Linked DNA regions of Lonchura striata. The protein of the gene in region 2 purifies or fractionates together with the protein of the main gene of each other region. This does not show direct contact. Links are inferred from orthologs where the notes say so. Each region holds a gene or a part of one and is shown on either strand. Other genes may lie near its edges.

The links.
Region 1: the proteins of ABI1 (region 2) and EPS8 purify together in Homo sapiens (affinity purification with western blotting; 4 studies listed by BioGRID, with this or other methods). This does not show direct contact. The link is inferred for Lonchura striata from reciprocal best matches to the Homo sapiens genes ABI1 and EPS8.
Region 3: the proteins of ABI1 (region 2) and WASF1 purify together in Homo sapiens (affinity purification with mass spectrometry; 6 studies listed by BioGRID and IntAct, with this or other methods). This does not show direct contact. The link is inferred for Lonchura striata from reciprocal best matches to the Homo sapiens genes ABI1 and WASF1.
Region 4: the proteins of ABI1 (region 2) and NHSL3 purify together in Homo sapiens (affinity purification with mass spectrometry; 3 studies listed by BioGRID and IntAct, with this or other methods). This does not show direct contact. The link is inferred for Lonchura striata from reciprocal best matches to the Homo sapiens genes ABI1 and NHSL3.

Annotation. Positions count from the first base shown.
Region 1 is NC_134607.1:9,511,539-9,519,917, reverse strand, and holds the start of EPS8 (epidermal growth factor receptor kinase substrate 8), read right to left. Parts: upstream 3,271-8,379; 5' UTR 3,243-3,270; coding exon of another isoform or gene 3,131-3,242; exon of another isoform or gene 3,080-3,130; intron 1-3,079. Other genes in the region: STRAP (serine-threonine kinase receptor-associated protein), read left to right, coding at 3,131-3,242, 4,316-4,451, 5,180-5,261, 5,513-5,585, 6,222-6,318, 7,202-7,339, 7,713-7,849. UniProt on the Homo sapiens protein: Signaling adapter that controls various cellular protrusions by regulating actin cytoskeleton dynamics and architecture. Depending on its association with other signal transducers, can regulate different processes.
Region 2 is NC_134603.1:140,617,404-140,625,682, reverse strand, and holds the start of ABI1 (abl interactor 1), read left to right. Parts: upstream 1-5,175; 5' UTR 5,176-5,291; coding exon 5,292-5,408; intron 5,409-8,279. UniProt on the Homo sapiens protein: May act in negative regulation of cell growth and transformation by interacting with nonreceptor tyrosine kinases ABL1 and/or ABL2. May play a role in regulation of EGF-induced Erk pathway activation. Involved in cytoskeletal reorganization and EGFR signaling.
Region 3 is NC_134605.1:69,128,796-69,136,701, reverse strand, and holds the start of WASF1 (actin-binding protein WASF1), read right to left. Parts: upstream 3,241-7,906; 5' UTR 3,240-3,240; coding exon 3,145-3,239; intron 1-3,144.
Region 4 is NC_134628.1:906,756-914,122, forward strand, and holds the start of NHSL3 (NHS-like protein 3), read right to left. Parts: upstream 3,474-7,367; coding exon 3,269-3,473; intron 1-3,268. UniProt on the Homo sapiens protein: Able to directly activate the TNF-NFkappaB signaling pathway.

The DNA.
Region 1 (8,379 bases), on a different chromosome or scaffold from region 2:
GATTTCTAAGCAGGCAATTTAAACTTAATACAAAGTTTTTCTTTATACTGTCCCTTAGGATCATGTTTTTCCACTGAAAAATTTGACAACATCAGTCACCAGGAGAGTTTTTAAAAATATAAACCCAAACAGCATTTCTATCAGGAAGTCACAGCCCTACGGTTAGATAAGACTTTGTAAGATGTAAATGTAGAAGCAATTAAATTTTGTATGGAAAAAATCCAGAAAATCTTAAAGACACGGGAAAGGTCCACCTGGCAACCTGTGGCTCTGAATGGAAAAACTGTTGATCTGTGATACAGTGTCAGTATGCCTGAAAATGAGTCATGAAGTTACAAAATCTTTAGGAGCTACTTCTGAGAAACCTGGGGTGAGAAATAAAATACCAGAAGAATGTGAAACACCGTGCCTATCTTTTAAATAAAAAAAGCTGTGAAAGTCTGCAGTTAGCTCCAGCTTCATTTTTCAGTTAATGATTTAAATACCTTTTCTAGTTGTAAGGCTTAAGAGAAAAAGGAGGTGATTAACTACTAATCATTCTGATTCTAGGTTAAGAGAAACATCACTCCACTCATCTTTGAGTAAGAGCAAACAAGTCATCCTTAGAAGCTTCTGAGGGCAAGTCCAGACAGCACCATCAGCTTGTCTTCAACATAAAAATGCCCAACCAGGCGGGTGCTGCTATTTTTCCCTGAAATCCCCTCATCCTTCAAGGCTTTCCCATCACCTTTCTGGTGATCAGTGAGCCATGAGGGGAGCTGGGCCTGCAGAAAAGGCAGGATTTTGGCAGGAGTCGCTGCTGGTTTAGGAGCCAGCAGGGCACTGAGGGACCATGGCCACCTGTGGAGGGATGGAATGGCAAGGAGGTCGCTGTTCCCTTAGGGAACAGGAGGAGGGGATGAACTGGACAGTAATGAGGTTGCTTTTCCTTTGGGAAGTGGGATGAGGGGCCAGTTCTGTTCAATATATTTATTGATTACATGGATGAGGGGATGGAATCTTTCATTAGTTAATTTGCATATGACACTAAACTGGGATAGTGTGTCAGTCTGTTGGAAGGTAGGAGGGCTCTGCAGAGAGATTTGGAACAGTTGAATGGACAGGCAGAGGATTAAGTTTACTAAATCCAAGTGCCCAGTCCTGCATTTTGGCCACAATAACCTCCTGCAGCGTTATAGGCTGGGGACAGTGTGGCTGGACAGTGCCCAGGCAGGAAGGGACCAGGGGATACTGTTTGACAGCCAGCTGGACATGAGCCAGCAGCATGCCCCTGGTGACCAAGAAGGCCAGGGGCATCCTGGCCTGGATCAGGAATGGTGTGGCCAGCAGGAGCAGGGAGGTCATTCTGCCCCTGTACCTGGCACTGGTAAGGGCATACCTCAAGTGCTGAGTCCAGTTCTGGCCCCTTACTTTGGGAAGGACGTTGAGAGGAGGCAACAAGGCTGGAGAGGGGCTGGGAACACAAACCCTGTGAGGAATAATTGAGGGAGCTGGGGGTGTTCAGCCTGGAGACAAGGAGACTCAGGGGTGACATTATTGCTCTCTACAACTCCCTGAAAGGTGGTTGTAGTCAAGTGGGGTTGGTCTCTTTCTCCAAGCAGCACTGACAGAACCAGAGGACACAGTCTCAAGCTGCACCAAGGGAAATACAGGTTGGATATTTGGAAAAAGTTTTTCACATAAAGAGAGATAAAGTTCTGGAATGGCCTGCCCAGGGAGGTGGTGGAGTCACCGTCACTGGATGTGTTTAAAAACAGATTGGATGTGGCACTTGGTGCCATGGTTTAGTTGAGGTATTGGGGCTGGGTTGGATTTGATATCTTTAAGATCTCTTCCAACCTGGTCATTCTGCGAAATCTGTGGAAGGAACAAGATGTCTTTACCAACAAACTGTGGGCCTGATGGTAGACAAGGCCAGATACTGAGAGGTGAAAGAAGCAATGCGGGGGGGGAAACATAAATTTCACTAATCGACAGTTACTCACTCAAGCCTGAGCTAAACCTCTGGATTTAGAGAAAAAGAACACAAGGTAAAAAGAAAAGGGGGGCCTACATATTAGAAAGGGGTTTGTATTAAGAGATTTGGGAAGTCTGTACTTCTCAAGTACCTCAGAAAATGGGGGAAGAGAGAGGGAAATACAGCCTGGAAATTAGGATAAAAAGGAGGCTGCGTCCTCTAACAGTTTGAGAGACCTCATGGGAAACGCCCATGACCTCTCCCTTTATTCGAATAAAGTTACAGGACTCCTCTGTCTCCTCTTTGGACATAAACCTGTGGCGTATGTGGATTAATCTTCCTGACAGGACGAACGGGAGGTGATGAGGTCGCTATTCCCTCGGGAAGCGGGATGGTGGATGAACGGGACGGGAATGTGGCCGCTGCTCTCTGAAGGAGCGGGATGAGGGGATTAACGAGACGAAGAGCTCGCTGCTCCCTCAAGGAGCGGGATGGTGGCTGAACGGGATAGAGAGGAGCTAGCTAACTCCCTCATGGAGCGGGATGAGGGATGCAAAGGACGGCGAGGACCCCGCTGTTCCCTCAGGGAGCAGGATGAGGGATGAACGGGACAGCGAAGAGCTCGCTGTTCCCTCATGGAGAGGGATGGTGGCTGAATGGGAATGGGATGTCGCCGCTGCTCCCTCAGGGAGCGGGATGAGGGATAAACGGGACGGGGACGAGCCCGCTGCTTCCTCAGGAACCGGGGTGGTGGCTGAAGGGGACAACGAGGAGCTCGCTAATTCCCTCATGGAGCGGGATGAGGGATGGCCGGGACGAGGACGAGCCCGCTCTTCCCTCACAGAGGGGATGAGGGGTGGCCGGGACGCTGATAACCTAGCCGCTCCCTCACAGAGGGAATGAGGGATGGCCGGGACGCTGATAACCCAGCCGCTCCCTCACGGAGGGGATGAGGGACTGCCGGGACAGAAAGGACCCCACCGCTCCCTCACGGAGGGGACGAGCGGGGCAGCGCAGACCCGTCCCCCCGTCGGGGCGGTGCCGCGGCGGCCGCGCCCCCGGGCGTGACGCGCGTCCGGCGGGAAGCGCTTCCTGCCCGTCACTTCCCCCGCCGCCGCCGCCGCTCCCGCCGGGCCGCCGCACTCGTGCCCTGCCCAGGCCCCCGCCGCCGCCATGGCCATGAGGCAGACCCCGCTCACCTGCTCCGGCCACACGCGGCCCGTGGTGGACCTGGCCTTCAGCGGCGTCACCCCCTACGGATATTTCCTCATCAGCGCCTGCAAGGGTGAGCGGGACGGGCCGCTTTGTCCGGGATCCCCCGCCCCGGAGGTGGGCGTGGGGGAGCCCCGCCGCTCGGAGGTCGCGCATCGCCGTCCCCACGGGTGGCGGTGGGGCGGGAGGGGTGTCCTGGCCGCTCAGGGTGGTGGCAGCGCCTCAGCGAGCTGTGGAATGACGAAGGGAGCGGATAGCCGGTGTTCTGTGCTGGCGCTTCATTGCCGGGCTAGCCGGGGTGTGGGAGCCCGCATGCGCCCGGCTGGCATCCCGGCTGGCATCCCGGCTGGGATCCCGGCTGGCATCCCGGCTGGGATCCCGGCTGTTGCGGGGTGGGAGTGCTCCAGAACAGTTCGGTTGTAAAACTTCTCCTTCTACCCGCTGTGCACACGGGCTGCGGATTTGAAGCGAGCTCCGGTTTGACCAGGGCAGCTGCTGGACACGGCATGATGAGAGCTCTTTGCTCACTGTGGGAATAGCATTTCATTTTCGTGCATGTATATTTTAATCTTTGACATGCATAAGTTTTAAAGGGCATTCCTTTTCTGCCTTGAAGTGCTTCCAGGTCGGCTTTACGTCTTGTGTGAACAACTCTTTGATAGCCTTGTAGAAAAAAACTGATGATAGGAAAGGCTTTCTATTAGTACTTCATTCATGTATCAATGTATGTTTTAATCATATCTCATTGCAACCATGACACTTGTTTCTACATACTGATGACTTGATAATATTGTTCCAGTGTAAAAATAAAAGACCAAACCAAATCTGCCCTGCCTGAAGAAAACTTTAGTAAAAATAAAACTTGAATTAAACATTTCTACTTTCCTTCTATCTTAAGAAAAAGTTAGAGTTTTACCAGGAAGCTCTTAATTCCACATGCAGTAGCATTTGAATAGTGGCACAGTTTAGATGCATGCAGCAAGTACGACTGCACATCTAAACTCTACAGCTGAACCCCTCTGCAAAGAGTGGCTTTGTAAAGTATGGGGCATTTCCACATGCTGATGCAAGGGAGTATTTTTAGTTTTGAAAAACTGCTTCCTTCTTTTGCCACGTTACCTGAATACTGGTTTTGTTTCTATGAAGATGGCAAGCCTATGCTGCGTCAGGGGGACACGGGAGACTGGATTGGCACATTTCTGGGTCATAAAGGTGCTGTGTGGGGTGCCACCCTGAACACGGATGCCACGAAAGCAGCTACAGCAGCAGCAGATTTCACAGCGTAAGTGATGGACTGTCTTCACGGGCTGTATTTTGGTTTTTATTCTGTAGCTCTTTGGTGGCAACTTAGCTGTACTAAATTACTGGTTCATTTGTTTCTCTTTGGTTAGTCAATTAAAACCTAAATTTGTACATTCTTGAAAGTAGCTACAGTTAATTGTGTCATGATGAACAACTGTGATTGCTTCTTGATGTGCTGAATTATCATACTGGTTTACTTTTACTTAACTTTTCTGTGAATCTCTAATCTGTGGCACTGTAGTTATAGCAGAGTTGAGAGGGGGATTTTTATTTTTCATCTAGCAGTTAGCCTCTTTTTATTACATTAAACTTCTAGTGAATTAGTCCTTCAATGTTTTTTGTTGTTTGTGCTGTATTTTGCAGTATTAAGGAATATTTTGCAAGTTGAATCTTGTTAGTACAGGGTAAATTCTATTAATGAACTTGCAGAGAAGAGCCACCTTTGTCTTCAAACTAAAATGTTAATAAGTTTGCAGGGTTCTGAAGAAGAGCATAACGGAAAGTGGTGGGATAGTACCAAAAAAAGCTCTAGTAAAAATATTTAAAATACTCTTATTGACTAACTAGGTTGCAACTTAAAAGAATGTAATATTTTAGGATAAAATATTGTGATGGTGTCAGGAAAGATTGCTTACAAATTCATGTGACTGTCCAGGTTGATTTTGTCCTGATGTTTCTAAAATATGAATATTTCCTCTTGCTGTTTAGCAAAGTGTGGGATGCTGTGTCAGGCGATGAACTAATCACACTTGCTCACAAACACATTGTCAAAAGTGTGGATTTTACACAGGTATGAGGAACCTTTATACCTTATTCACCAGGGAAATAAGCTCTTGAGCATGTTTTGTTATTAATTACTTTTTTGTTGTAAATCTTAACAGCGAAATAATCTAAAATACTGCTGCTCATTTTTAGGATTGTAGGGTTAATGTAGCAAGTGTCTTAGAGGCTGTCTGAGAGAAAAAGCTGTGATTTTAAATCACAGACAAAGGCTGTATTTTGATTCAAAGTAGAGTTGACTCTCTATAACTTCTGTTTCAGGATAGCAATTACCTGTTAACAGGTGGACAAGATAAGCTCTTGCGTATCTATGACTTGAGCAAGCCAGAAGCAGGTGAGTCTGCTTTTAAAACTGACTCTTGAGGGCTTTATTGAGTTAAATAAAAGTTCTGAAATTAAGGAGCTACTTTCTGCTAAGAACAATGTTGAGGATTGGTTTACAAATGTAATGTCTATAAGGTTTTGGTATATAAGGGTCCCAGAATTGCTTGGGTTGGAGATCACCTGGTTCCAAACTCTCTTCTCTGGATGCTGGTTGATTAAAGCCCCATCCAGCCTGGTCTTGCACACTTCCAGGAATGAGACATCAAGCAGAGCGTGTTTTAGTTCAGTGCAGACACATTTAAATTGATCTAATTAATTAAAATTTAGTCATCGGAGAGAAAAAATGACTCCACATATTTAAGTGTGTTTAAATTTGTGTTGATGCTAACCTATTGATGGTTGTTAGGAAGCCAGAGAAAATTGATGTTCACCTAGTGAAGTTTTTGAAAGCTAGGCAGGCAATCAGGTACTCAGTTTGCATTTATCCTGTTCCTGGAATAAGATCTGCAAGTAAAATCATAAGTGCTTGAAGTAATTCTACAGTGTCTAGTAGATGGAAATCAGTGTAGCTTAAGGAAGCCCCCAACTGCTGCATGGCGTTATTTAATCTTATTACATGTATTAAAATATTTGGCTTTCTTTTAAGAACCTGATGTTGTCAGTGGACATACTTCTGGCATTAAAAAGGCCTTATGGAGCAGTGATGACAAACAGATTCTTTCAGCTGATGATAAAACTGTCCGGTAAGAAAAAGTAACTTTGAGTTTTCTGTATTGTCATGCTCTGTGTGGGGATGAAGTCATGTTATTTTGGTGAAGGATGAGTAACACACGTTACCTGATCCTAGATTATTGTAGCTGCATGCCTGATACAGCTCTGTTCTGCTGTTAGAGATCATTTAGTTCTAATTTCCCCATAAATGTGTGCTCCTCCTAGATGTGTTCTCCCTGATAAGAAGAGGTAGTCTTTGATAACTGCATAGAATAAATGTATGCCTTTTGTAATCCTGAAGAAGATGAATTTATAGATGAGGTCTCTTGCATACACACTGTCCTGAGATATTGATGCTTTGTCTTCTTCAGTTTCCTGGTGTTAAAGATAGGCAAGAGCCTATTCCTGTTTGTTTTCCTCCAAATTGTAGGAATAGAAATGCAGCAGTCAGCTAATGAATAAAGATTTTTATTTGTCACAGCAGCACAGCTTAATTTCTGTTTAGATGCTTCTTGCACTGCTAGATATAAAACTATATTATCCTCAGTGAACCTCTGTAAATTTGGATTAGTATCTCTTTGTCTTTTGAAGTAAAAAGAGAGTAGAATCTTCAAGCATTGCTTAGAAGACTTAAATCAATATTTTTAATCTCCAGGAGAATCACTGAGTAGTTAAATGGTGTGTTTATACCATTTAATGTTGTGGCATTAAGCTGCAAAGGTATAAGTATTTTAAAAAGTGGCCCAGGTGAGGATGCAGGTAAAGCCACTGAAGAGCTGAAGTACCTGTGGAATCAAACCACATTCCTTGATGGGTGCCTGTTTTGATGCAGGTCTTGCCATGGATATGAGGTGGAAATTGTTTGATTTGCAGAAGTCTGAGAGTCTTTTTTTTCCCTTTTTGTTTTATTTTAAGCCTCTGGGACCGGAGTACCATGACTGAGGTGAAGTCACTAAATGTGGCAATGTCAGTGAGCAGCATGGAGTATGTTCCAGAAGGACAGATACTGGTGATAACCTATGGGAAGACTATTGCTTTTCATAGTGCAGAAACGTGAGTCCACAACTTCCAGTTTTCACAGGTGGAGTAATGGGATTCTTGTGGGTAAAAACTGGCTGTACAAGGCCAGAGTCACCAAGTTGTCAAGACTGGCATCTCAGTGATGTTTCAAGAAAGGAAGTTATCTGCTTAAACATATTCCAGAAAGTAGTTCTGTATGTGTGATCTTTTGTTTTGCTTATTCTAAACTCATTTCTAACTTGACAAGCATGATTTGCAAGTATCAAAACTTGTTTCAAAAACTCTGTGGGGTTGTATTTTATTTCTGGGAAAAGCAGTTGAGATTAGTAGAATCACAGTTTCTTTGCTCTCAGTTTTTTTTTTTTTTTTGTTGTATTAGCTTCATTAACAAACTTTTCTCCCTCAGTCTAGAGCAGATTAAATCATTTGAAGCACCTGCTACAATCAATTCTGCATCTCTTCACCCTGCGAAAGAATGTTTGGTTGCAGGTGGTGAAGATTTTAAACTCTATAAATATGACTATAATACAGGAGAAGAATTAGGTATGTTTGTGTCTTATAATCATAAAGGAATTCTGAAATAGATATTAAAAAAAAAAATGACCAGTAAATGAAACTGTTGTATTCAAATGAGATCTTAGCATAGCATGCTGTACAAGAGGATGATGAAAAGGTATATAATCACGTAAATGTTTTTTGCTATCTCAGTATACCTAATATTCTAGAACTAATTAAAACATCCATTCAACAATTCTGCATCCATTTAAAAAAAATTCTCATTCTGTATTGCTATAATAGCTGTATGCTAAATTGTCATACTGTTCATTAGGTATGTCAGTTAGGAGATTTTATGAAAAATATGATGTGTTGGCCTAGTTTAAAAAAAAGCATATATTCTTACTGATCCAGTCCTCGTTTAAAATTGTTTGTGCAAGGAGTGGTTGAAGGAACAGAGCATGTGTTCTCTGTGCTGCTGGATTGCTTTGCAGTTTTGTCTAGAACTGAGCACCTTTTTCTTTGCAGGTAATGAAATGTTAATATCTTGCCTAAAGTAGCTATTGCTGATACACCCA
Region 2 (8,279 bases):
ATAAGCCTACCTTGTGATGGGCAGTTGGAAGTGACAGCAGCAGAAGGGACCTAGATTGGGAGCTGGGAATGGAAAATGGGAGAGGAATTCCTTGATTCAGTAAAAGTGGAAAGGAAACATCAGGAGACAACCGGATGGCCAAAGGCTGAGCTGAGAAATATGCAAGAATGAAAAGCAAAATTAAAGAGGCCAAAAGAACAAGGGATCCAGTGGAACACAGGAGGAGAACAACTGAGAGGACAGATGGAGAAAAGAGTAGTGGAGGTGACGGAAAAGGAAGATTGCTGACACCAGAGTACTGCTGAGGAATGAAGATAAGCATGCAGGAGGGATGAAGAGGAGAGAGTTTTATGAAAAATGAGGTTGAGACAGAAGGCAAATCCTGCAAGTGAAAATATATTAGAGGAGAAAGGTCATGTCAAAATACAGTGAAACTATTTATTTTTTGCCACTCTTATCTTGTGCATTCTTGAAGCTGCAATTTTCAGTCTTATTACTTCTGTGCTCCCCAGCAGCTCAGGCTGCCTAGCAATGCCTGGCTGTGCTGGCTGTGCTGCACAGAGCTCGTGGCTGCCTAGCAACTGCCAGGGGTCTGTGTTGGGGTCTCTGACCAGCTCAGGGATGCAGTCCTGCCCCAAACACCCCTGCTTCCCTGGCAAGCCAGGAAGCAGCATCTGCAGCTGTTAACAGCTGTGATGAAAACCTTAAAAATATTAATTGGGAAAAAGGGCACACGGAGGTGACCACAAAAGCGCAGAGTGCATGACAAATTGTCTCCAAAATGCAGAAACAACCCCATTCATCTCTGCAATACTCAGACAACCTGTGATGATAACTGAAATATCAATATGGGTAATTATTCTGGTTCTTAAATAAGGCTCTGTGCTAAAGCAAAGGAAAACAACCCAATGCAGCTAAGCACCTTCTTGGGCAGTTATTAAACAGGCGAAGGAAATATCAAAACAGCAAATTTTGGTACCAAGAAAAGAAAACATTGAAGAATATTAAGTATTCATAAAAGCTTGTCCTAGTACAGCCATACTTGTGTAACTATCATTGCAATCAACAAAAATTTTATTACAAGAAAATGAGACTTGGCATTTGGCAGCAGAGCTGATGTGGCTGATCTGAACAGCCCTGTGTCTTCTGTGCCTCCAGCTGCCCTCTCAGATCCCTCATCTCCCTTTCCATTGCACTGTCAGAAGTGCTTGTGCAGCTAAACCACCGAATCAGGAATTAATCCAGCAGAGAAATGGTCCAACAAAAAATAAAGGGTTATTTTCCAATCAACACTACTGAAGCAAGTACTGTTCGTTCCCAAGGGAAAAACAAAGACACATGCCAATCTATGGCCAAGGAAAGGGAACAGACAGTTACAGAGCTACACAAATTACAGTGCAGGAGAAGTTGCTGTGATACTGCTACTTTGCTGCTGTTCTAAACAGCACTTAGAATATAGTCACATTTTTCTTTCCAAGCCAAAAATGGCCTATTGTCCCAGAAAGATAGGATTGCCCCTGGAGATCTCATGCCCCACTGAGGAGGAGAAAATCTCAACGTAAAGTTGAGACATTGAGAGATATATAAGCACATTTTACTCTAGATAGGATCTCATTTGGGTGATTGTTTAGGTGGAGATTGATGGACATAATTACATGTTTTCCTCTGCCAGTCCAGCAGCCCAAGCCAGGAAAATTTTAATTCCCAGCTCTTTTGTACACTTGAAGTATCTTGTAAGTTAGGTAATTTATTTTTCTTATCAGCAGTTTATACCTGGTGCAATGAGAAAATGTCACAGAGTAAAAAAGCCCAAACTCAACAAAATAAACCAAAATGAAAAGAACAACAAAATAAAATATTTTCTGAAAAGAAACCCCAGTGAATGCAGTTTAGATGCACATTACTATCTTCAGCAAATGTCAGCTCAAGCCCAAACTTTATTGATTGTGGCTCAGCACTGGTTCTGCTAGATTTGCACTCTTTTAGGTGCTTTAGAATCACTTGGTGCACACCATGCAGACTCATGGAACCAGCTTCAATCTACTGCACCTGAGTCAATGCACCAACCAAGAGCCTCAGACATGAGGAACACCCTGCAAAGACACTCAAGGGATCCTGCAGAGAGTTATTTAGAAAGAAGGAGGACTAGCATGGGACAAAAGCTAATAAGGCCTGCTGATCTTATCAGTTGGGCATATCCACACCAAAATTCCCAGTGCATCTTACACAGTGTGGCCCTCACAGCAGCACTGCCATGCTTGTATGGCACCCAGATGACAGGTCCTGCAGGAGTGGACCTGGTTTGGTTGTTTATCTACCCAAAGTCTAACCCGCAGGCATGGGGACAATGCCTGGCCGCGCCATGGCAGCTGCAGAAGAGCCTCATAGCTGTCACAAGGTGGCAACATTCGATGTGCTCCTCCGAGGTCTTCTTGAGTTGTGAGAACATTTTGCATTTTTGCTCTGCTGGAGCCGCTGCTCTGCTGTGCCAGGTGGATGCATCCCCGGAGAGCCCGCAGTGCCTGCTCAGTGCCTGTCCTGCCAGGACAAGCTTGCTCACGGGAGTGAAGCACAATACATTTAGCAAAACACGTGCCACTCATTTTGCTCATACTGAAAAAAGTTGATGGGCAAGGCCCCACACATCTGTCATTTCTTTTAGAGGGGCAGCTGTAACATTTTATGAAGAGCCAACAACAATTGTGCTACATTTGAGGATGTTAACAGCTTCCATGAAGTCAGTCTGTGATCTGTAGGCAATTAAAGATTCATTCAAGCCAATGGGTGTTAAGCAATTTGCAGCTAAAGTGAATAGAGAAATTGAATTAGTCTTTATTAATATATACAATAAGTCAATACTGGAAACAAGGAGAAGCCAGTGCCCAAGAGTAGTGATGCCTTGTGAAGGTTCACCTAGAACAGAGACTAACTAGATGGAGTTAAAGAATAAAGTAGGTATTTATTAGAAGACCTCAATGGATACATCTAGGGCAGTACAAGAGCCCAGCAACAGCTACACCCAAGGTGAACCCAAAATGGTCACAAAATGACAGGTCACAGGGTCTCAAACTTTTTTAAGTTCTGGTCCATTAGCATATTGAAGTTAATTGTCCAGTTACAGCTTTAGCTTATGAAGTCCCATCCTTCTTGTTTTTCTCTCTTCAGTCCACATTATTTATGCTCTTGGGCCTGAAGTTTGGATCATTTGTCCTTGGTCCCCAGCTAGAGAAGAAATTGTTTTGTCAACCTACACTGTGAAGAGAGCTTACTATCCCCTAATATGAAGCTCAGAAATGCACACTAAAGCAGCACATAATCTGAAAAATATAAAAGCTAAAACCTGAGGCATCAGGGGTTCTGGTCACACTTGCCCCAGGACACATTTAAAGCTTGCCAATATCTCAATACAAACAAACTGAATTAGCTTACATTAAAAGGAATCCAAAATAAAGTGTTTTATTGGACATACATGCTGCCCAAAAGAGAGCTATTAAAACCCCTTTGGAAACAATTTTGCTAAGCTGCCAAGTAAATTAACCATCAGAAGAGAGCAATGTAGATGCATTTCTATCCCACAGCAAGTGCTGCAAGTGTACCAGCTCCTTCTGCTCCTCAAAGAGCTCTCAAATACTTTTCTTGGTACCTGCCTGTCTGTTCCCAGACAGGAGTGTATTTTGTAACTCCAGTTGCAAAGAGTTTCCCAGTCCTGATGGTCCTTTCCAGGGTCCTTACCTTTCATCCTTGCTTCTACAGTTCTGGGCTGAGATACTGGACTTTGCTGACCACAGAGGTGAAGGGAGAGCTATTTTTTACCCTTGATTTAGAGAGAGCAATAAATACACCAAAGTATCCTGACCAGAACAGTGATTCACACAGGAGACAGACTACAGAGAACATGTAGAATGTCACATGATTTTGCAGAAATGAGGCAGTCTCCTCTTACTATAATGTGAGCTTGAGACTGCATTTTTCTGAAACATGCTGACTTTTTACCACTGTGTGCATTTCTCTAGGACAACCATTAAAAAACACAAGGACTAACTGTGTTTGTGTTTGTGACTGCGGACACACAACACATGGCAAGAACAGTGGAACCTTGGAAATGGCTTTTTCTGGGCCTGTTACTCATTGCAAGAGCAGGCATGGACATCTCAGCAGAGCAGTCACCTGCTGCTACTGGCTTCTCTCCTGGCACGATTGCAGAATCAGGATTTGGCTTACAAAAAAGACATGCAAAAAAGATTGTACTAAGTTATCACTGGACTTTTGTCTTCCATACTTTTGCTGACAGCCAGATGAGGCCTTGAACAATGATTAACAACTGAGGTAAATGAGTGGCAGGAATACTGTATTTATCTCAGCCAAATATTTAAGCTCTTCTTAAGAACCTAAATTCAGGAAATCACTGTTAGTAGTTATACTGGGCAGGCCCTGACTAAAATCTGCGTAACTTGGATTCAGTATTTCTCCCTCCCCCTCAGGGGGTAACTCCCTTGAAAGGACTAGTTGCCCCAAACCATGATCATTCTAACATCTTACCAGTCTTCTGTTATCTTTGGAATGGCCTGTCCAGGGAGGTAGTGGAGTCACTGTCCCTGGAGGTATTTAAGGAAACCCTGGACATTACATTTCGGGCTGTGGTCTAGTTGACATGGTGGTGCTCAGTCATGGGTTGGACTCGATGAACTCAGAGACCTTTTCCAACCTAATTGATTCTGCGATCTTCCATATTTTTAGCCTGCCAGATGGCCAGATAACCAGAGCAGTGCTTCCCTCCCAGACCCTTTCAGCCTCTCCTGCAGAACCGCTGCCTCTGGGCAGCACTGTGGGGCTGGGGCTTTTCTGAGCGAGGCGGGGGATGTACATCACTGTCTCCCCTCGTCTCTGGGGGAGACAGGACAGGAGCCGGGGGAGCAGGGCAGCCCAGCAGCCGGGGGAGCAGGCCAGCCCAGCAGCCAGCCAGGCCGGAGCACTCCGGGCCCCACCATGTCCCTCCGGCCCGCGGGCGGTGCCCACGAGCGGCGGCCGCCCCGCGCATGCGACCGGCCCTGCCTACAACTCCCGGCTGCCTTCGCACAGCGAGGGCGGGCTTTTCCTCTTTTTTCTTGGTTTGGTTTTTTTTTTTTTTTTTCTTTTTTTTTCCCCTCCCCTCGGAGGGGGAAGGATGGGTGGGGAAAGCGAGCGTTCACGAAAGCGAGGCGAGGAGGAATCCCACAATACCAGGCGGGTTGCGAGCCCGGCGCTGTCGCTGTCTCTTTAATGCAAGAGGAAGCGATGCGGAGGGGTGGAAAATGGCAGAGTTGCAGATGTTGCTAGAGGAGGAAATCCCTTCTGGCAAGCGGGCTCTGCTCGAGAGCTACCAGAACCTCACTCGAGTCGCCGACTACTGCGAAAACAACTACATCCAGGTAAGGGCGGCGGGGCAGCGCACCGGGGGCCGGCGGCGGGGCTCGGCTCTCCGTGCGGCGGCGGGGCCGGAGCCGCCCGAGGGGCAGCGGCGCCTGGCTGCCCTCGCCGCGGCTCCCGCCCCGCGGCCGGTCCCTCGGCTTTGCCTTTTCTTTCAACTTTCCCAGCTGAACGGCCAGGCTTCCCTTCCCCCGCTCCAGAGGGGAAGGGAGGGGGTTATTATGTCAGTCCGGCTCCGAGGGTGTGTCTTTTTTTTTTTTTTTCCTTTTTTTTTCCTTCCCCCCCTGTATTTATTTATCATGAGTCACATCCCGGAGACCTCCCAGGGGTGGGGGTGACCGAGGCGCGAGGGCCCCCGAGCCCTTCCGTGCGGCCGGCTCCGACCCGGTATCCCGGGTTTCCCCCCGGCTTCCCGGCGGCGGGGCTCCCTGCGGGGCCCGCGGACGGGCCTCGGGGCGGCGGCGGTGGCCGGGGCGGGTGCGCCGCACGTGGGGCGCGGGTGCCGGGCGGCCCCGCGCCGCGCTCCGCGGGGAGCGGAGGGCCCCGCGCGGGTGACATCACGGGCTCGGGGGTCCGCGCCGGCTCCTCCTGGGCGTGCGGGTCCCGGCGGGGCCGAGGCGGGCGCGGTGCTGCGGGGCCGCAGCGCTGCCGTGAGCGGCGTGCGGGGGCAGGCGGCTGCCCGTGGGCTGGCAGCGCCGTGCGGGCGTGAGGCGGTGTTTCAAAATGGCAATCTGTGCCTCTCGCAGCCCGCCCGGCTCTAGCACCTACAACAGGGATTGCAGACCGAGTCTCTCGTGCGGGAAGAGGCTCCTTTGGTTCCAGCGTTTCTCCACCGGCGGTGGGTTTTTTTTTTCCATCCCATAGATTGCCAATGCTTCTTGGACTTCTTTTAAGTCTGATTTTTCTGAAGCTACTTTAAGCACAATTTCCTATTATTATTTTTTTCAGGATTTACATCACGTGACTCTAAGTCTCAGTCTTTAGTCATACTGATCTGGATGCAGAACCATCCAGAGATGCTGAAACTCAGCTTTTTTTTTCTGTAAAAAATTTGAAGGGGAAAGGCAAATAAACTTTATTAACTAGACAGCTTGTAGAGTGAACTTGTTGAATGTAATACTAGATTACCTGTGATAAGTATTTAATATAGGTTACCAACATCTTTGGTATCCATTATTGCTGGTAAGCTGTCTTACTGTTTTTAGTTACGGAGCAGCAAATATGGAAGCACATCTTTAATAATACAAAGTGATTTTTTAATGAGATCTTTTAATTAAAACTGCTCTAACAAGCCATATTTTCAAGTTTTTTTTTTTTTTGTTTGGGTTTGTGTTTTTTGGTTTTTTTTTTTTTTTGGTATATGAGGTAGTATGAGTTAATGTCTATTTATGCTTCCGAGTTGTTTGCTCCACCCAGAGAAAGCTGCTGATATAAATGCTTCTAAGAGGCGAGGTTCATTTGGTTTTACTCATGGGAAATATGACAAATACATGAGTATGGTAATTGCAGCACAAGTTTTGACGTGTCTCTTGCTCCTGACTTTTCCCTATGTCAGAAAGGTGCAGAGAATCTTCAGCTACATCGTTTTCTTCACAGTCATAAAATTTGTCTTTTCTTACTTTCATCAAGCAAACCAAATAAACACAACACTTGAGCAAATTCCCATCCAGTCATTTGGGGTGGCTTTTCCTTTTCCTCTTTTTTTCTTTTTTTAATTTTTTTTTTTTTAATTTGGTAGCTCATTTTCACCTCAGGTATCAAGGTCAGCTAGATGTGGGATTGATGGGGTCTCTTTTATCTTTGTACAGCTGTGTACAAAGATAAAAGAAGGAAGGAAGCCGGAATTCTAAAAGTCTAACGCAGTCTTGTACAGTAGCTTTGGAAAATGTATATACCCCACTTGTATTTTACATGTATTGTACATTTGCTTAGTAAAAATGTATTGATAAAATTATGTATTTTTTTGTGTTTGATGGAGGTGGGTTTTTTAATCAGCACTTGCTGCAAAACCATCTGCTGTCCAGTTGGACTACTGAACAGATTATACTGCCAGTGCATGTGGTGGATACTGCTGGATTAGGCAGTATGACACAGGGCACTGGGTTATGAGATTTGGGTGTAGGAGTATGGTGGGATGGGAAGGGAGAAAAGGAAAGGAAGAGGCTTAACAAACATATAATACAAAATCTATGTGTTTGTTTAATGTGATTGAGCATTTTATAAAAAAGACAGACCAGAATAAAGAACCTGGCCATGAAGTGAATGTTGAAATACTTCACTAGTAGCTCCATTTCTTATCTGGTTGTATGTAGCTGGTTCAGTTCAGCCACTTTGAATTTGGAGTGGTTTATTTTTTTCTGTGGAAAAAGTGAAGTGCTTCATAGTGGTAAACATTACTGTGTGCTGTTACCCACTCTGAGTTGTGCCACTGAGGTGAAACAGGTTTGTCAGACTGTTCTGAGTGCTGGCACTAACAATTTATTGTGATTGAAATAGGACAATGAATTATGTTCTCTGTGTTATGGTTTATATTCTTTGCTGACTTAAGCAGGAAAGTAATTTCTTGCCACTGATATTGCTATATTCAAGCTATATATATGTATTTATTTGAAAATACAGAAATTTTGTTTTGTCTTTCTTAAGCTGAGAATAATTCTGGTAAAATTTCAGCCGTGCTGATTTCTTAAGGAAAACTTGTATTCAATGTCTCTTGAGATTCCTTAGGGTGGAAAAAAAAAAAAAAAAAAGAGCGACAAATGGGGGAAACACTCACCTGTCTGGAACTTACCTCCCTGATGGTGAATGTAGCTGTGTGGAGAGCAAGTATCCTTTTACTGGAGCATTTAGGAAAGATGACAGCATTTGGGAATCTC
Region 3 (7,906 bases), on a different chromosome or scaffold from region 2:
AGCCACATCTACTTCCTTGTCAAAATTTAAAAGTTTAATATTTATTCAGCTAAACAAATTAAAAAAGGGCAATAATTTTTTACTCTGGAAAAGAAAAAACTATATTTTAAGCCCTATGTAGCTTGTGACTACCATGAATTAATATCATCAAAGTGAAGGTAATTTTGGCAAGCTATGAGTGGAAAGAAATGGAGGGATTAATAATTTGTATGCTGGCTTTTAAGAGCTTTATCTCTGATAAATTAACTTTTCAAGAAAATCTTAAATAGCCACTGTCACTGGCTCTGATGATGGCAGTGTCAGCAGAGTTCTCAGTGTGGGCAACAGTGCAAAATACGACTCCCCAGTAGCAATGCAACAAGCACAACCTCATTAACAGGAACAGCAGTGATATTCCAGAGGAGAAAGTTGACATATCTGTTCATAATTACAGGGGTTACCTGAAGGTTGAGAGGGAACACCAGCATATTTTCAGCGAGTGAAGCTGCAATCTGGGTCAAGTCAATGAGCTGTGTCACAAAACACACCATCGTAGTGGGCAGCAACCACTCCCCACCCTGTGAGTGCAGCCCTCAGGGCTTGCACACCATTTCCCATTCTGCTGGGGAAAATCATTTACCTTTCCCCACTACCTACAACCCACTCTTCGGGCTTTCCTCAGTGTCCCCACTCGTCTGGAATTCCTGCCAACTGTGTGTTGTTCAGGCTGCCTCTGGCCCCTTTTGTCCCAGTGTGCAGGTGGGAGAGGTTGTCACAATCATTTATACATTCTCCTCTCCTCTCCTCTCCTCTCCTCTCCTCTCCTCTCCTCTCCTCTCCTCTCCTCTCCTCTCCTCTCCTCTCCTCTCCTCTCCTCCCCTCCCCTCCCCTCCCCTCCCCTCCCCTCCCCTCCCCTCTCACCCTCATGAAAAATTTCACTCTGATCACATGTACAGAGCAAAAGCTTAAGGTATCCTAAATACAAGGAGAGAATATTCAGGTCAATATTGGTTTCTTTTTCCCAATACAAGTGCAAAACGCAATGGGGTGAAATAAACGGCATGTGGATTTTGCAAATCTCGTACCTATTGTTAAGCAGGATTCCTATTCATGAAATGGAATTCACAAACAACTCAGAGTTGAAACAGCTCACTAACTGTGGCTTTTCAAGACAGATCCTTTTTACAAGGGTAAACTCAGCTTGATTTCACATAACTGAAGTTTTTTCCTTTGTTTTCAACTATGATTTTCCAGAATATAAACAAGTATCTACTGATTTGTCAATTTATTAAGCATCCAATGCTACTTCCTTTATTTTCCACTACCTTCCCAACAGCTTCCATCTTACTATGGTGTCTTTTGAGTCATTCATGTGAAAAAAGAAATCCCAGCCACCATTATTGCAGTTGTCTCCCAATAACTGTAAAAATATCTCTGTTCATCTTAATAAATAAGTTATTTAAATCAAAATGGAAAAATTAAAAAAAAAAACAAAAACAAATCAGGTTTAACACTACCTACTCTGAACAGCAGGACTGCTGGGGTCAATAACGCACTAAGCCAGTTACACTTCTGGCTTACCAACAAGATTCAATGAACAAAATTAGATGTAACACTGTTTAGCATGTCTACAGCAAGAAACATTTAGACTTACAAATTTCCCTCACATTAGGTATGTTAAGCAAAAATAGAAATAAGAAAATTATAATCCACATTTTTGTATAACATCTTAATTCCAAAATGCATATAACATAAAAAACACAGAATACACAAAGACTAAAATTTCTGATGAAAAAACTCTCTATGGTCTATTAAAAATTAAAATACACCCTTAAGAATTTCCAGATGTTAGATGTGAATTAATTGGTGTTTAGGCTTGGTTTTCGTTATAATTCTACTTCTTAGTATCTTGAAACTAAAACTTTTGTTACAGGTATGATGACCCAATCTTTTAATGACCTGTTTTATTTTAAAGTTACAAACCAGTAAATAACCAGAAACCAGATAGAATAGAATTGTATTCTTCAAATCCAAACCCTAAAGGCACAAAATACTAATTATCAATTTCTTTCCTTCTATATAGCACTAAATTACAGTGAAGACTTATAAAATAAATCTTGTGAATTGTTCCCAGAAAAGATGAGAATCATTATACCCCAACCAGCAAAAATTGCAATGATATTTTACAATAAATTAAAAAAAAATAAATTAAACAAGTGTATCCATGTATTAATGGAGAAATATTTAAGTCATATGGAACCACATGTCACTTCATTGTTAAGATATTAATCAAGAAAAAATAGTGACTTCGTGATCTTGTATTTCTATTAAGCTTTCTGAAGAAGTTAATTTAAAAATAAAGAGCAGATGTACAATATATTTGCATAACATACATGTACAGACACATATGGCTACCTCGAAATAGAAGTATTTTAAATTGTCATATGTAAAATTAGAAAAAGAGCTGCAAAATTTCTGGTCAGCATTACTAAATATTATTCAGAAGTCTGCACTCATTAATTTTCTCCTAGTGAGCTCCTGTCAGGTCATTTGATTAATAACAATTTTGGAAGTATCCAGGGTTCTAATTTAGGTACAGCCAAGAATGCTTAAATTAATTTTTGATTACAAGTTTTTCTCTTTTCCCCAAAGGCTAAAAATGTATTAATGCATAACATAGTATGGAACTTGAAATTGCTTTTTGAGACCTATGTTTTATCTGATGACATTTTTTCTCTCTGCATTAATCTAGTCTTCCTGTTAACAGTTTCTAGGTATAGTTTATAACACAAAAGCCCTAAGATGGATTGCAACAAAAGATCTTTATTATAGACTTGACAGAGACAGATAACTAATCCAGTATTAATTTAAAATCAGAACCTTAGTACCAGAACTAAAGGTACCTTCTCTGTGGTTTGAACATGCTACCTTTGAAAATTTTCTACAATTTTCCTTGAAAATAAATATTCCATACATAAACAGTTACCTCTGTTACATAGTCCTTTGCCAATCCAGGACAAGACCTATTACAAACACTCGTAAATTTTAAACAATCTTACAAAATCTACCAAATGCACATAAAAATCTATGCCAATACACAACAACGTGCTTTTGAACGGACAATATTTTGTGGCAGCAAATGATAAATATTTAAAGGAATGGTACCTGAAGTGCCTGGCTGCCAAGCCAAGCAGCCTGGTGGGTACCGGGGGGATGAGGTGTTGCAGCCTGGCCACGGCGCTCCAGGGCTGCGCTCCCATCGGCACGGGCCGGACAACTTGCACAGCTCCCCACTCGCAGGGAGCCCCAGGCTGGGGCTCTGCTATCGCAGCCAGCACCTCCCACGCTGCCCCTTCCACACAGGCTGGCTCTTGCACCCAGGCATTAGAATTCAGCACACAGTGCCCTGCCCTAACAACAGGGCTGTCCTTACAAAGGAAACACAGGCATGCTCCCAAACTGCCCTTTTTCTCCAGACACAAGTAGAGAACCCCCTGAAGGCAAGTGATTAGGAAATAATTGTTCCTTTGGTACCAAGCTACAACGGGTAAATATTAAATTATGATGTGCCAAAAATGAAAGAAACGAGTTGCTGTGCATTGATGAGGAAAGGAAGGAAGGGGAATACAAGAGTCTGGGCATTGTGTTGCTATTACTGATGAATCTGAGAAAGGAATTGCATATTAATCAAATAATAAATGATGTTGGGAATCTACAGTAGTAATTAGGCCAATGTGCAGAAGGCTGTGACTAAGAAACATCACACAATGAAGGCGCTACTTAGGAAGTTCCTGTATTTAATTCAGCAGTGCTACACACTATATTAACTAGTACTCCCTTATTAAACTTAGTTACAGGTGTCAACAATGACTATTGGCAGCTTTTCATGCCTCAAAACATTAGAGATTTGAAGAAGTGGTGTTAGCACTGCAAGAGCCACGAAGGAGTCGTGTATTTAAGAATGAAACCTTCCCTGCACTTTATGCTACGACACCAAGTGCCTAAATGCATTTTATGCTTAGATACCTAACACACAAATGACAGATTATTTGGTTTGATTTTCTTTTTCACAGTTTTAAAGAAAGAATTAAGATATACCAGCTACCAAGTGGGATGTAAAAATGTGTAATAATCATCTTATTACTACTAGCTGAGCTTCTCTGTAGATTAATTTCCCCCTCTTGTGAACAATGAAATTCCTGAGAAGAGGATTTGTTGCAAAAAATGTCAATGCAGAAAAACATATTTCCCTGTCTACTGCCGTTTACGTTACTTAACGTTTGAAGAGCCATGCTGCAGAAAAAAGGTATTAACATCTACAGAGAAATTGTTTGCTTTTGAACTGAAATATTATTAAATATTTCACAGCCCAAAAACACTGATGATGATTTAATAATGATTTTCATTATTATAATATATAAAATATAAAAAACCGACTATTTCAATAATGATTTATACTGTGGCAGGCTAGATCATTACATAATTCACCTGGTGTAACAACAAAAGTTATTACACCAGATGAAGTGAGTTAAAGACTTGCTAAGCTAAAGACTAGAGCACTCAGATGTGCCTGTTTTCAGATGTGCCTGTTTTCTACACAGTAGGTAGTGTCATTTGGGACAATAAGTTTTCCATTCAAATATCATCATTTGAAATAAGGTATTTCCAGTAATTTCTTGGGTAACCTCTTACAACCAGCTACACACCACACATGAAAATGTGTCCATTCCCCCTCTTTCTCTGAGCTTTGTTTCCCTATACTTTCAGATTACATACATTAATTATTATTTCTCATTGTTTGTAACATTTAGGTATTTAGAGATGCCACACACTTTCTGTGCTATGAATTCTACTAAGTCATAAATTTCTGTTCTTACTTAGCAGAAAAAAAATAAAATTGAAGGATCCAGATGAGGACCATGAGGTGGATCACAGGGCTGGAGCACCTCTCCTGTGGAGACAGGCTGAGAGTTGGGTTGCTCACTCTGGAGGGAGAGCTCCAAGGAGATCCTACAACACTTTCCAGTACCTAAAGGTGGCTGCAAGAGAGCTGGAGAGGGACTTTCTACAAGGGCACGTAGTGATAGAAGAAGGGAGGATGGCTTTAAATTGAAAGAGGTATAATTAAATAGATATTTAATGTTTAGATTAGACATTAGGAAGAAATTCTTCACTGTGAGGGTGGTGAGGCACTGGGACAGGTTGCCCAGAGAAGCTATGGATGCCCTATCCCTGTAAGTCTTCAAGAGCAGGTTGGATGTGGCTCCAAGAAACATGGCCTAGGGGAAGGTCTGAAACTAGGCTATCTTTAGAGGTCTTCTCCGGTACAAATCATCTTATGTTCTGCGAATACTTTTAATTATGACATCATTTGTTGCTATTGCCTACTCTAAATTTGCAACTGCATAAATTCAATCTTGCAAATTCTTTTTTCACCGAATTAAGTTTCTTGTTTGGATGTCCTTTGCAGGTCTGAGCTCCAGACTCAAACTCCTGGTCCTTTAAGTAGCTATTCTGGAATGAAATGAGATTCTTTACAGGATGACATTTAGAACTTGCAACAGGAAGTTTTTTCCTATTAGCCTGATTTATATGACTTCCAGTAGATAAATACATTTTTACACAAAATCAAGGAAACTAGTCATGTGAATATTTATTAAGAAGAAATGTGAGCTATTTTCCCTTCTGTCATAACACCGATGAAATATTATATAAAAAAATCAGTATACATTCAGAAAATTTTTGTAGCAAGTAGGGATTACATGCATGAAGGTTTTTAAATGTGCTGTATTTTAATAAATTAATTTTAATATTCCATTGTTTCTGCAAGCCAAAATTTAAACACTTTAAAATATCTCATAAGGAAAAACTCATTTGCTAGACAAAATTAGATTTCTTTGTAATTCTGTAAGAAGCATTTAAAGTCCTCATATTTACATAAGTATTTTCCCCTAAACTTAAATGCTCAAGTTAATTATAGCCAGCATTTATTTTCACTGTCCATGCCTGAGTTTGAGCAATATTCTTAATATGAAATGAATAAATATTGGTGAGAAAACTAATTTTTTTGTGAAGATTAGAACTAATTAAAGCTAGTCCTCTCAAGGCGTTTGTGTCATGGTTGATTGTGAGCTTTAACTAAAGCTATTCCATAATTGGGATATCGGTAGAATGCCTTCCCTCTCTGGTTTCCTCTGGCTATTTACATGTAAACTAACACTGTTACCTTTCCATTGCCCGTAATATTTGCAAAGACATGCATTTTAACAATATGTACAGGAGCTCAACAACGTTTCAAATATTTTATTCCTATGACCTTTCTCTTAAATTTGACAGTCATTTAAAAATATTGAGATGAAACAGGAATCAGAAAAACAGACAAAGAATGACTGCATTCACCTTCTTTTCTTGACTCCAAGTTTGGAAACTTGATTAAAAAAAAATTTAAGTTGGTTTTGTGCTATGCATCAATCATTATTTAAAGCTAGCTTAAATAACTGAAGGCACAAACATGAAAGAAGAACATTTTGAAATACACACATCTTTGTACTTTATGCTTGGAAATACAAAATACATGCAAATGAAAACTACAGTCTGCAAACTGGAGATGCCATTTCAGTTTCAAGCAGAGAGAAATTAGGCCCATTTGGAAGCTTTTCAAGGGAACTTCACTGGGTCAGGAGAGTGTGTTCAATTGTGCACTCACCTTACATCAGAACTTCTTAATAGAGAGACAGTAAAGGTCCACCTTCATGGTTTATGGCATCAACAGGATTAAGTCACTATGAGCAAAAAACCTGCAGGTACATATTTATCAAAGAAAAGAAGGTGTTCTCAATCTGGAGGGAAAACACCCTCAGGCCCATTACACGTGACAATCATAGCACCTTCTATCATAGGGGAAACACTGACTTAACACAGATCCCTGTTGGCTCCTCTGAGGTAGTCAAGAGACCACATAGAGGAAAAGAAGGTAAATCTGTTAATTCTTTATATAATACAGCAAAAAGATTAGCCCAGCCAGCCACAAGGAAGGGCAGATCTAATAAGGGAGTTAATAAAGTTAGCTCTTTCTCTCTTAACAAATATTTAGCAGAAAGTAGATAGTGAGAGAATAGGGATGTAAAATGAGATTATCTTTAGCTGTCTCTACAGGGAGCTCTGAAAAGATAGCTTGGAATTTTTAGACTTTGAACTAGTACATATAATTATGAAGTAATAAAGATGCCTCAAAGGTAGATAATGTAAGAACTCAATAATTTTAGTAATTCCTTTTGCAATTAAGATATGCTAACTGTAAAAATTCAGAGAATTTAGGACACAGTATTAGACCAGAACTGTATAAAATACTACTTATCAAATATTGGTGTCATCAAAATACTGGTTTCAAGCATAGGAAAAGATAGGAAATGGACGTGTCTGTGAAGGCACCAACAGTTGCTTCAGCTTCCAACTGCTCTGACGACAGCAGCTGGAAATCATCATAGCCAGCTCAATGCTGGAGTTTCCACAGAATGCCCAGAAATCACAAGTGCCTAAAAAGAGCCAACCATTTCACTCACTTTTTTTAGCTTTTTTTAAACCAAGGACATACAGCACAAGCCGGAAATCAAAATGGCCTCAATGGGCATCAGGTTAACCCTATCTACCCTCTTTGAAGCACAGGCACCAAAGGTCCGATGATTCTTGCTTCCTGAACAACAGCCTGATGTTTGAAGAACTCCCTCGAGAAATGGAAAGACTGACTAAAGGATACACACAAGATTAAGAGGAATGAATTCATGCCTCCCTTACTGCAGTAATCAAAAGCATTAGGCCACAGAACACTTTAGTGTGAAGGCACTTGAAACAAAGCAAGCAAACAAGGGGAAGTCAAATCTTTTGCAGAAACTGGGATATTAGCTGCAAGTGGCAGAACTTAGATCCC
Region 4 (7,367 bases), on a different chromosome or scaffold from region 2:
AGGGGTGGGAAAAAATTCCCTGTTTTCCACTCCCGGCTGTGCCCCGTTCACAGGACAGCCTCGGGGCAGCGGGGATGAAACAAGGCCACGGCCACACGGGCAGCAGGTCAGAGATCTCTGCCCAGGGACTGTGGGACAGCAGTTCTCCTCTGCTCAGCCAGGGGCATCTCCAGGCTGGGATGAGGCTTCCTCCCACCACCCCAAAACACGGGATGGACATCCTCCTCTGACCCCTCTGCAGCCCCCTGGATCAAACCCCCGGGTTCAGCTCTTGTGTTTCTCTCCCAGGAAGAAGCAGAGAGGCTGGAGCCTGCCCCAGATCCAGGCAGACACTTCCCCCTGCCCTCCCAAAAAGAGATTAGGGAACCTTTCCTCACAGCTCAGCTCTTTGGGCAGCCAGAGATGGCATCGCTGATAGCCACGGGCCCCGGGGGATTGGTCCGAAGGGGAAATGCTCTCATCCTCCCTGCGCCGTGATTTCAGTGCTGAGCAATGCCGGGCAGGCAGATGCTCAGGAATGAGCCCCGATTCGGTGCCCTGCGATGAATTCTGTCTTTCCCACCCCTTGGAGCCATCCTACTCCCCCTCCCCACCGCCGGGACGCTCAGACAACCCTGTCCCAAATCCATGAGCAATCCACGCCCAGGGGGATGAGGAACTGCCTGGTCCAAATCCCCCAGCACCACTGGGACCCAGGGAAAGCTGAGGGCACGCAGAGCCTGCCGCAGCTCTCCCCACTCCCCCTCCCAGTGCTCCCAGCACCGTCAATATTATTGTGCTCTTCCCCTGCCCGGAGTGCTCAGGGTCCCCTGGCGTGTCCCAGGGCGTGGATCCTGTGCCGAGACAAGGATTTGGGGAGCAGGTTGGTTGTCTTTAGGGGCTCCCAGACACCCTAAAGACTTGAAGGTTGCAAAAGCAGCAGAGGGACAGGATGCTGGAGACGAAGGGCTGGAAGAATTCCCAGCTGGTCCCGCTGCACGGATGCTCGTGGGGCCAGCGCAGCCTCCGGCCGGGTCAGAGCCGCGTGTGGCACGGCGATTCCGCCGGCTCCGAGCCTGGAGAACACCCGGGGCGAACGCTCCTTCCTTCCCACAGCATCCAGAGGCATCTGACCCCCCCACCCTGCAGGGAAACGTTGTCCCCATCCCGCGGGGATGGGTGCCGGGGCCGCTGGAGCAGGGAGGGGTTCCTGGCGTGCTCTGCGGGCCGGAGCTGCACGGGGAGGGTGATTCAGGCACGCAGGCAAGCTGCAAGCGCGGCACATCCGCGCTGCTTCTCCCCCAACACCGCGGAGAAGAATTTGGGATGCAGCCCACAGGGGAAGAGTCCCCCGGGCTGGGGCACTGAAGGGCTCCTCCATGCAATGAAAGCTCTCCCGATGGGACAGCAGGGTGGCAGTGCTGTGACAGAGCCCTGGCTGGCACAGCTGCCACAGAGAGGTCCCCAAGCTGTGACCCTGACAGGCCGTGACTTGGCATTTTGAGGGTTTAGCTGGTGAACGGTACAACTTCAGGGAAAAAAAAAAAAAAAAAAGGAAAAAACGGGCTGGCAGAGCTGCTGGGGGCGTTTCTGCTGCCAAGAGGAACATCACATGCTCCGGCACATCTCGTTTTTTCTGCTCAGGTTTCAGTGCTGGGCTGTGGCAGCGGTGTCCACACACGGAGGAACCACCAGCAGCATCCGATGGATCGGCCCAGGAGAAAGCTCAGCTCTTCCCAAGCTTCTTTTCCCTTCCCACGGCCACTCCTGTCCTATCACAGATCCCCGTGTGCTTCTCCAGGCAGCACGCAGCCTTGCGTGCCTGGAAATTCACTCCCTGGAGCAAAGTGAGGAAAAAAGTCCCAGCTGGCAGCGTCCTGCTACGCTCGGGTGCCACGGGAGAGGCCTCTCCCTTGGCAAAAGAGCCAAAACATCCCTGCCAGAGGTGCCCTCAGGGAGGGCAGGGCTGTGACACAGACACTGTCCCCAGCAGCGTGGGGTGGGACAGGCTTTTGGGGTGGGACAGGCTTTTGGGGTGAAACCTTCCCTGTTGGGACATCTGCTACTGCCAAAAAAGCGCTGAGGAGAGGAGCGTGACCAGACAAGCCAGCAGCCATGGCTCTGCCAAAGCTCGCTGGCTGAGCCCTTGGATCCCCAAAACAGGGCTCCAGGGTGGCCAAGAGAGGGGACCCAGGGCAGCTGCCCCTGCAGGATTGTCCTGGTCAGGGTGGCAGGGACATGACCGGGCCGTGCAGGCAGCAGGCACGAGCGGGCCGGGCTGAGACCGTATCTGGGCCAGGAAGGGCCACACCTGGAGCACGCAAACACCCTGCCCAGGAGGAGGAGGAGGAGGAGGAGGAGGAGGAGGTGGCAGCGGCTGGCATCCCTCCAGAATTCCCTCAGCCCCAGTGACCTTCTGACTCAGCGCAGGAGAACCTACCCAGTGAACCAGCACCAGCCCTCGGGGCTGGGTGAGATTGTGCCAGGGACTGCCGGATCCATCCTGCTGCCACCACGGCCACCATGGCCCCTGTCGTCACTGCCACCACCGCTGCCACCTCCTCCCCCTGCTGCCACCACAGCCACCACAGCCCCCGTGGTCACTGCCACCACTGCTGCCATCTCCTCCCCCTGCTGCCACCACGGCCACCACGGCCCCCGTGGCCACTGCCACCACCGCTGCCACCTCCTGCCCCTGCTGCCACCATGGCCAGCAGCTCCACCCCACCTGGCCACCACCATGGCCAGCACCCCTGCCCCTCCTGTGCGCCCTCTTCAGCCACGTCCACGGCCACCACCTCAACTCCTGTTCAGCCACCACGGTGACCCCTCTTTGGCCACCTCCAGGGCCAGCAGCCTGACCCTCCTTGGCTTCCACTGTGACACCTCCTCAGCCACCACCTTGACCTCTCCTTCACCACCTCCATGGCCACCGCTGTGACTCCTCCTTGGCCGCTGCCGCCACCCTGAGCCCTCCACAGCCACCACCTTGTCCCTCCTTGCCCACTGCCTTGGCCACCATTGAGAACACCACCCCAGCACCTCCCTGCCCACTCCCACAGCCACCACTCAACGCTTTGCCACCACACCAAGGCCACCGTGGCCACCGCTGTGACCCCTCCTTAGCCACCACCGTGGCTAAGGGTGGGACAGGATTTTTGGGGCTGAAAAACCACCTCGCCACCTCTTTGAGCAGCTCCCTGAAAATCTCCTCGCCCACCTCCTCTGTGGCCACCACCGTGCCCCCTCCTTAAGTGCCACCGTGGCCACCACCCCGCCCGCTCCTCACCTGCTCCCTCCGTCCCTCCCGAGCCGCTGCCGTCCTTGGGCTGCCGCCGCCGGCCCCGGAGCCAGCTGATCGCCCGGCGCAGCGAGTTCGCCCGGCCCTTCTTCCGCCGGGGGGGAGCCCCGGGAGCGCCCTCCGAGCCGCCGCCGCCGCCGCCCCGCTCCGGCTCCCGCTCGCCGCCCGCCGCAGGTGCAGCCCCGGCGGACATGGCCGCGGCGGGCAGCGCCCCGCAGCGCCCCGCACCGCCGGCAGCCGCTGCCCATAGGGCCGGGCCCGCCCGGCTCGGCTCGGCTCGGCTCCGGCCGCAGCCCCGGCCCCGCTCCGGGCTCCCGCCGAGCGCCCGGCGCCGACGGAAAGTTTCTGTGCGGGGCGGGGCCGGGGCTGCGGGAGCTCCGCCCGCACCGGCGCCCGCCCCCCCGAGCCCGCAGGTGGCCCCGGGGGCGTGGGGACCGGGGACCCTCCCCTTGCTGCCAGCGGGGTCACCCCCGGAGCCGCCCGAGGTGTTCTTCCCGTTCCCCGGTGGGTCCCGGCTTTGTCCCCTCGCTCTCCGCGCGGGGAGGGGGCGGTGCGGGGACAGCGGGGCGCCCTTGGGACCCTCTGCGACCCTCTGGGACCCTCTGGGCCCCGAGGTGCTGAGCACCAGCGGGAGACAGGCGCAGGAAAAGCGGGAAGCACCCGAGCGGGAGCGGAGCGCGGAATTCCAGCAGCGTCATCCCCGGGGCGGCGTCCGGCTCATCCCGGCGGGGCTGGCCCCGGTCCCGGTCCCGGTCCCGGGAGAGAAGCCGGACTCGCAGCCGTGTCCTGCCCTTGCCCTCCCACCCCGCAGCTCCCCCGGTTCCTCACCTGCTGGCCCCGGGGGTGACACTCGCCCTGTGTCACACGCTGCTCCGACTCGGCCACACCTGAGCTGTGCCACGCTGCTGCTCGCTGCGAGTGATCAATCAGCTCCTGAAAACGGAATGGCACCGCGGGAAGGGGAATTCAGCCCCCTGGAGAGGCTCTCCGGGCTCTGCCTGAGGCCGGCAGAGCAGCAGGAGCTGCCTGGGAAAGGATTTCACCACCCGGTACAAGCTCGGGAGCATGACCGCTCCAATCTGATCGAGATTAGGTTTCAGGAAGAAATCCTTCCCTGCGAGGGTGAGGGCCCTGGCACAGGGTGCCCAGAGCAGCCAGGGCTGCCCCTGGATCCCTGGAAGTGCCCAAATCCAGGCTGGACGGGGCTTGGAGCAGCCTGGGACAGTTCCCAGTGGGATTCCAGTTCCCAGCGGGATTCCAGTTCTCAATGGGATTCCAGCTCCCAGTGGGATCCCAGCTCCCAGTGGCATTCCAGTTCCCAGTGGGATTCCAGTTCCCAGTGGGATTCCAGCTCCCAGTGGGATCCCAGCTCCCAGTGGGATTCCAGCTCCCAGTGGGGTTCCAGCTCCCAGTGGGATTCCAGCTCCTGGTGGGATGATTCCAGCTCCCAGTGGGATTCCAGCCCCCAGTGGGATCCCAGCTCCCGGTGGGATGATTCCAGCCCCCAGTGGGATCCCAGCTCCCAGTGGAGGTGTCCCCATGGCAGGGCATTGGAACAAGATGACTTTTAAGCTCCCTTCCAACATGAACCATTCCACGATTCTGTGATCCAGCCGAGAGGGGACAACAGGACACAGGGACTGAGCTGGAAGAGCAGCAGGCCGGCGGCAGGACGCGTGGCAAAGCCAAGGGAAGGATCCCAAGCAGAACTCAGGTGGTTTCTGCTGCATTTCCACGCTCCTGGCTCCCAGGGCTTCGGCTCCCTGCGTTTCCTGCTGCCTCTCTTGCAGCCACATCCTTCCCAACGCTCCCAGGGCCTGGCCGCACGCCCGGAGGAGTTTGCCAGCTGCTGGAAATGGCTGGAAGATTTCTAAAGCAAGAAGCTTCTCCATCTCTCAGGCTTCCCAGCACATCAGCATCTCCCGTGGGATTCGGGCACTGGCTCTTCTATCTTGTGGGCTGAGCAAACCTGAGCTGCTTCCCAATAGCAGCAGTGAGCAGGGATGGGAATTTGGCTCCAAATCCAGGGTGATGCCTGAGGAAAGGCTGGGATTTGCTGGGCTTTTGTGTCTCTGCCTCACATTTTCCCTCCTTCACCCATCTGAACCCAAACTGAAGATTGAAAGGAGCACTGGAAGGAGTTGGGCTGAAATTTCCCGGCACCTCTGGGCCTCTCTGTGGTGCCAGGGAGGTGATTCTTTTCCAGGATGAAGGTTGAGCGTGTCACTGCTCCCTGGGCTTTGTTGAGCTGAGCTGAGCTGCACTGAGGAGATTCTAATCCCCAATTAGGCTGTTTGGGTTGACTTTCTGCTGCCAGCTCTGACTTCCGAGTCATTAGCCTCCCAAAAAAAAAAAAAAATTAAAAAAAAAATCCCATTTTTCATTTTTCATCTCTCCCCTCCTCGTGTGGCAGCAGAACCAGTTTGAAAAATATTTCTGCACAGAGTAATGGAGCATTGTCCAAGTAATGACAGGGAGAGAGGGGGAGAGGATCGGTTACACTGCGGGGACAGAGGGGTGAGGGAAGCACAGGAGGAAGGTGAAGAGGAAGGTTGTCCCAGCCCTAGAAATTCCAGGAGCTCCCCAAAGCACCCCAACACTTCATGAAGGGCCCCAAAAAGCTCCAGACCAGCAGCGTGCGGGGTCCCCAGCTGGGTAAATCATTTCCACCCGCGGGGCCAGGATGATGACAGAGAATCCTGGGGACAGCAGCTCCCACAAAAACTCAGCTCCCACGAGACCCAGGCACAGGGGAGGGGAGGCAGAGACTCTGCCACATCCCCGGGTGAAATGGGGAATCCCTGGGAAGCGAAACCCAGAATAAAAAACCCAAACTGCTGTGGGAATCCAGAGCTTCCCTCTGGCTGCCCTGGGACCCTGGCAGGGGTCAGAACCCCCCTGGACAGAGCCCCCAGAGACACTGGCTGTGATCTCTGTCCATGGAAAAGAGTTTTCAATCTTACAGGATCAATTACCAGCTCTGTGTGTTTGATAGCAGTAATAATTAAGTGTGGCACGGGTGCAAAAGTAAAATTTTAGGATTCTAGATGAGGGGTCCAAAGGGGACAAGCTGGAGGAAATTGGGTGTGCCTTGTCCTTTTTCTCCTTCTTCATGCCCTCCATGTCTCACTGTGGTGTTGGCATTTTTCTGTTGGTTCAGGCTGGGGACACACTGTCCAACGTAGGTGACAGATATTGGCACGTTCTTGTAAATCCAGCCCAGGGAGTTTCTGGTATTGAATGTTTGTCACATCCCACTGAGGGCAGAGCCCCACACGCTGCCCTGCAGGACAGAGCTGGGCAGGGCAGCAGAACATGTGAGAGATCAACAGAATAAACAACCTGGAAACCAGCACAGACCAATTATGGCTTCTGCTTTGGCAGCGGGGCTGAAAGACAGAGAATTTTTGCAATTTCGGAATCATCAATACCACGGATTGGTATCAGGCTCGAGCTGCTGCCAGCCGTGCCAGGGTGCAGCCGCTGCCCCGGGCTGTGCCCATCCATCCCCTGCCCTCATTTCCATCTCCTCGCGGGGCATGGCTGCTCCCTCATTCCTCATTAACGCCTCCGTCGGGACAAGGTCCTCCCGCATCCCTCTGAGCCCCGCGGGTGCCGCTTCTCACCCCAAATTCCTTCCGCCGGAATCGCCTCCTGCTCCCGTGCCTTGCCCCGGGGGATGGAAAAAGCCAGAGCGGAGCCCGGGCTGCGGTGACCCCGCTGGGACACGGCCACTGCTGCTGGTGGTGCTGAGCATCAGCTCAGCTGTAAAAATGGGTTTTTAAAATTGGCACGGGAAAAGGGAGGCACTGATGTCCTCGCTCAGGCGCCCGCCGCGTGGAATGGGATGAAAAAACCAGCATTTTAGGGTCTCTCCCTTCCCATTCTGGAAGGGACAGCTCTGGCACAGCCCAGGAGCATCACCCGTGGCCTGGTGACAGGGACAGGTGGCCACAAGAGGCATTTCCTGCTCCTTTGTGAGCATCCTGAATTTTCCTGGGGAGAGAAAAGCCGGTGGGAATGTCAGCACAGCCTCGGTGCCCTGTGGGATGCCATGGGCACATCAGGGTTGGCACAGGCATGACGG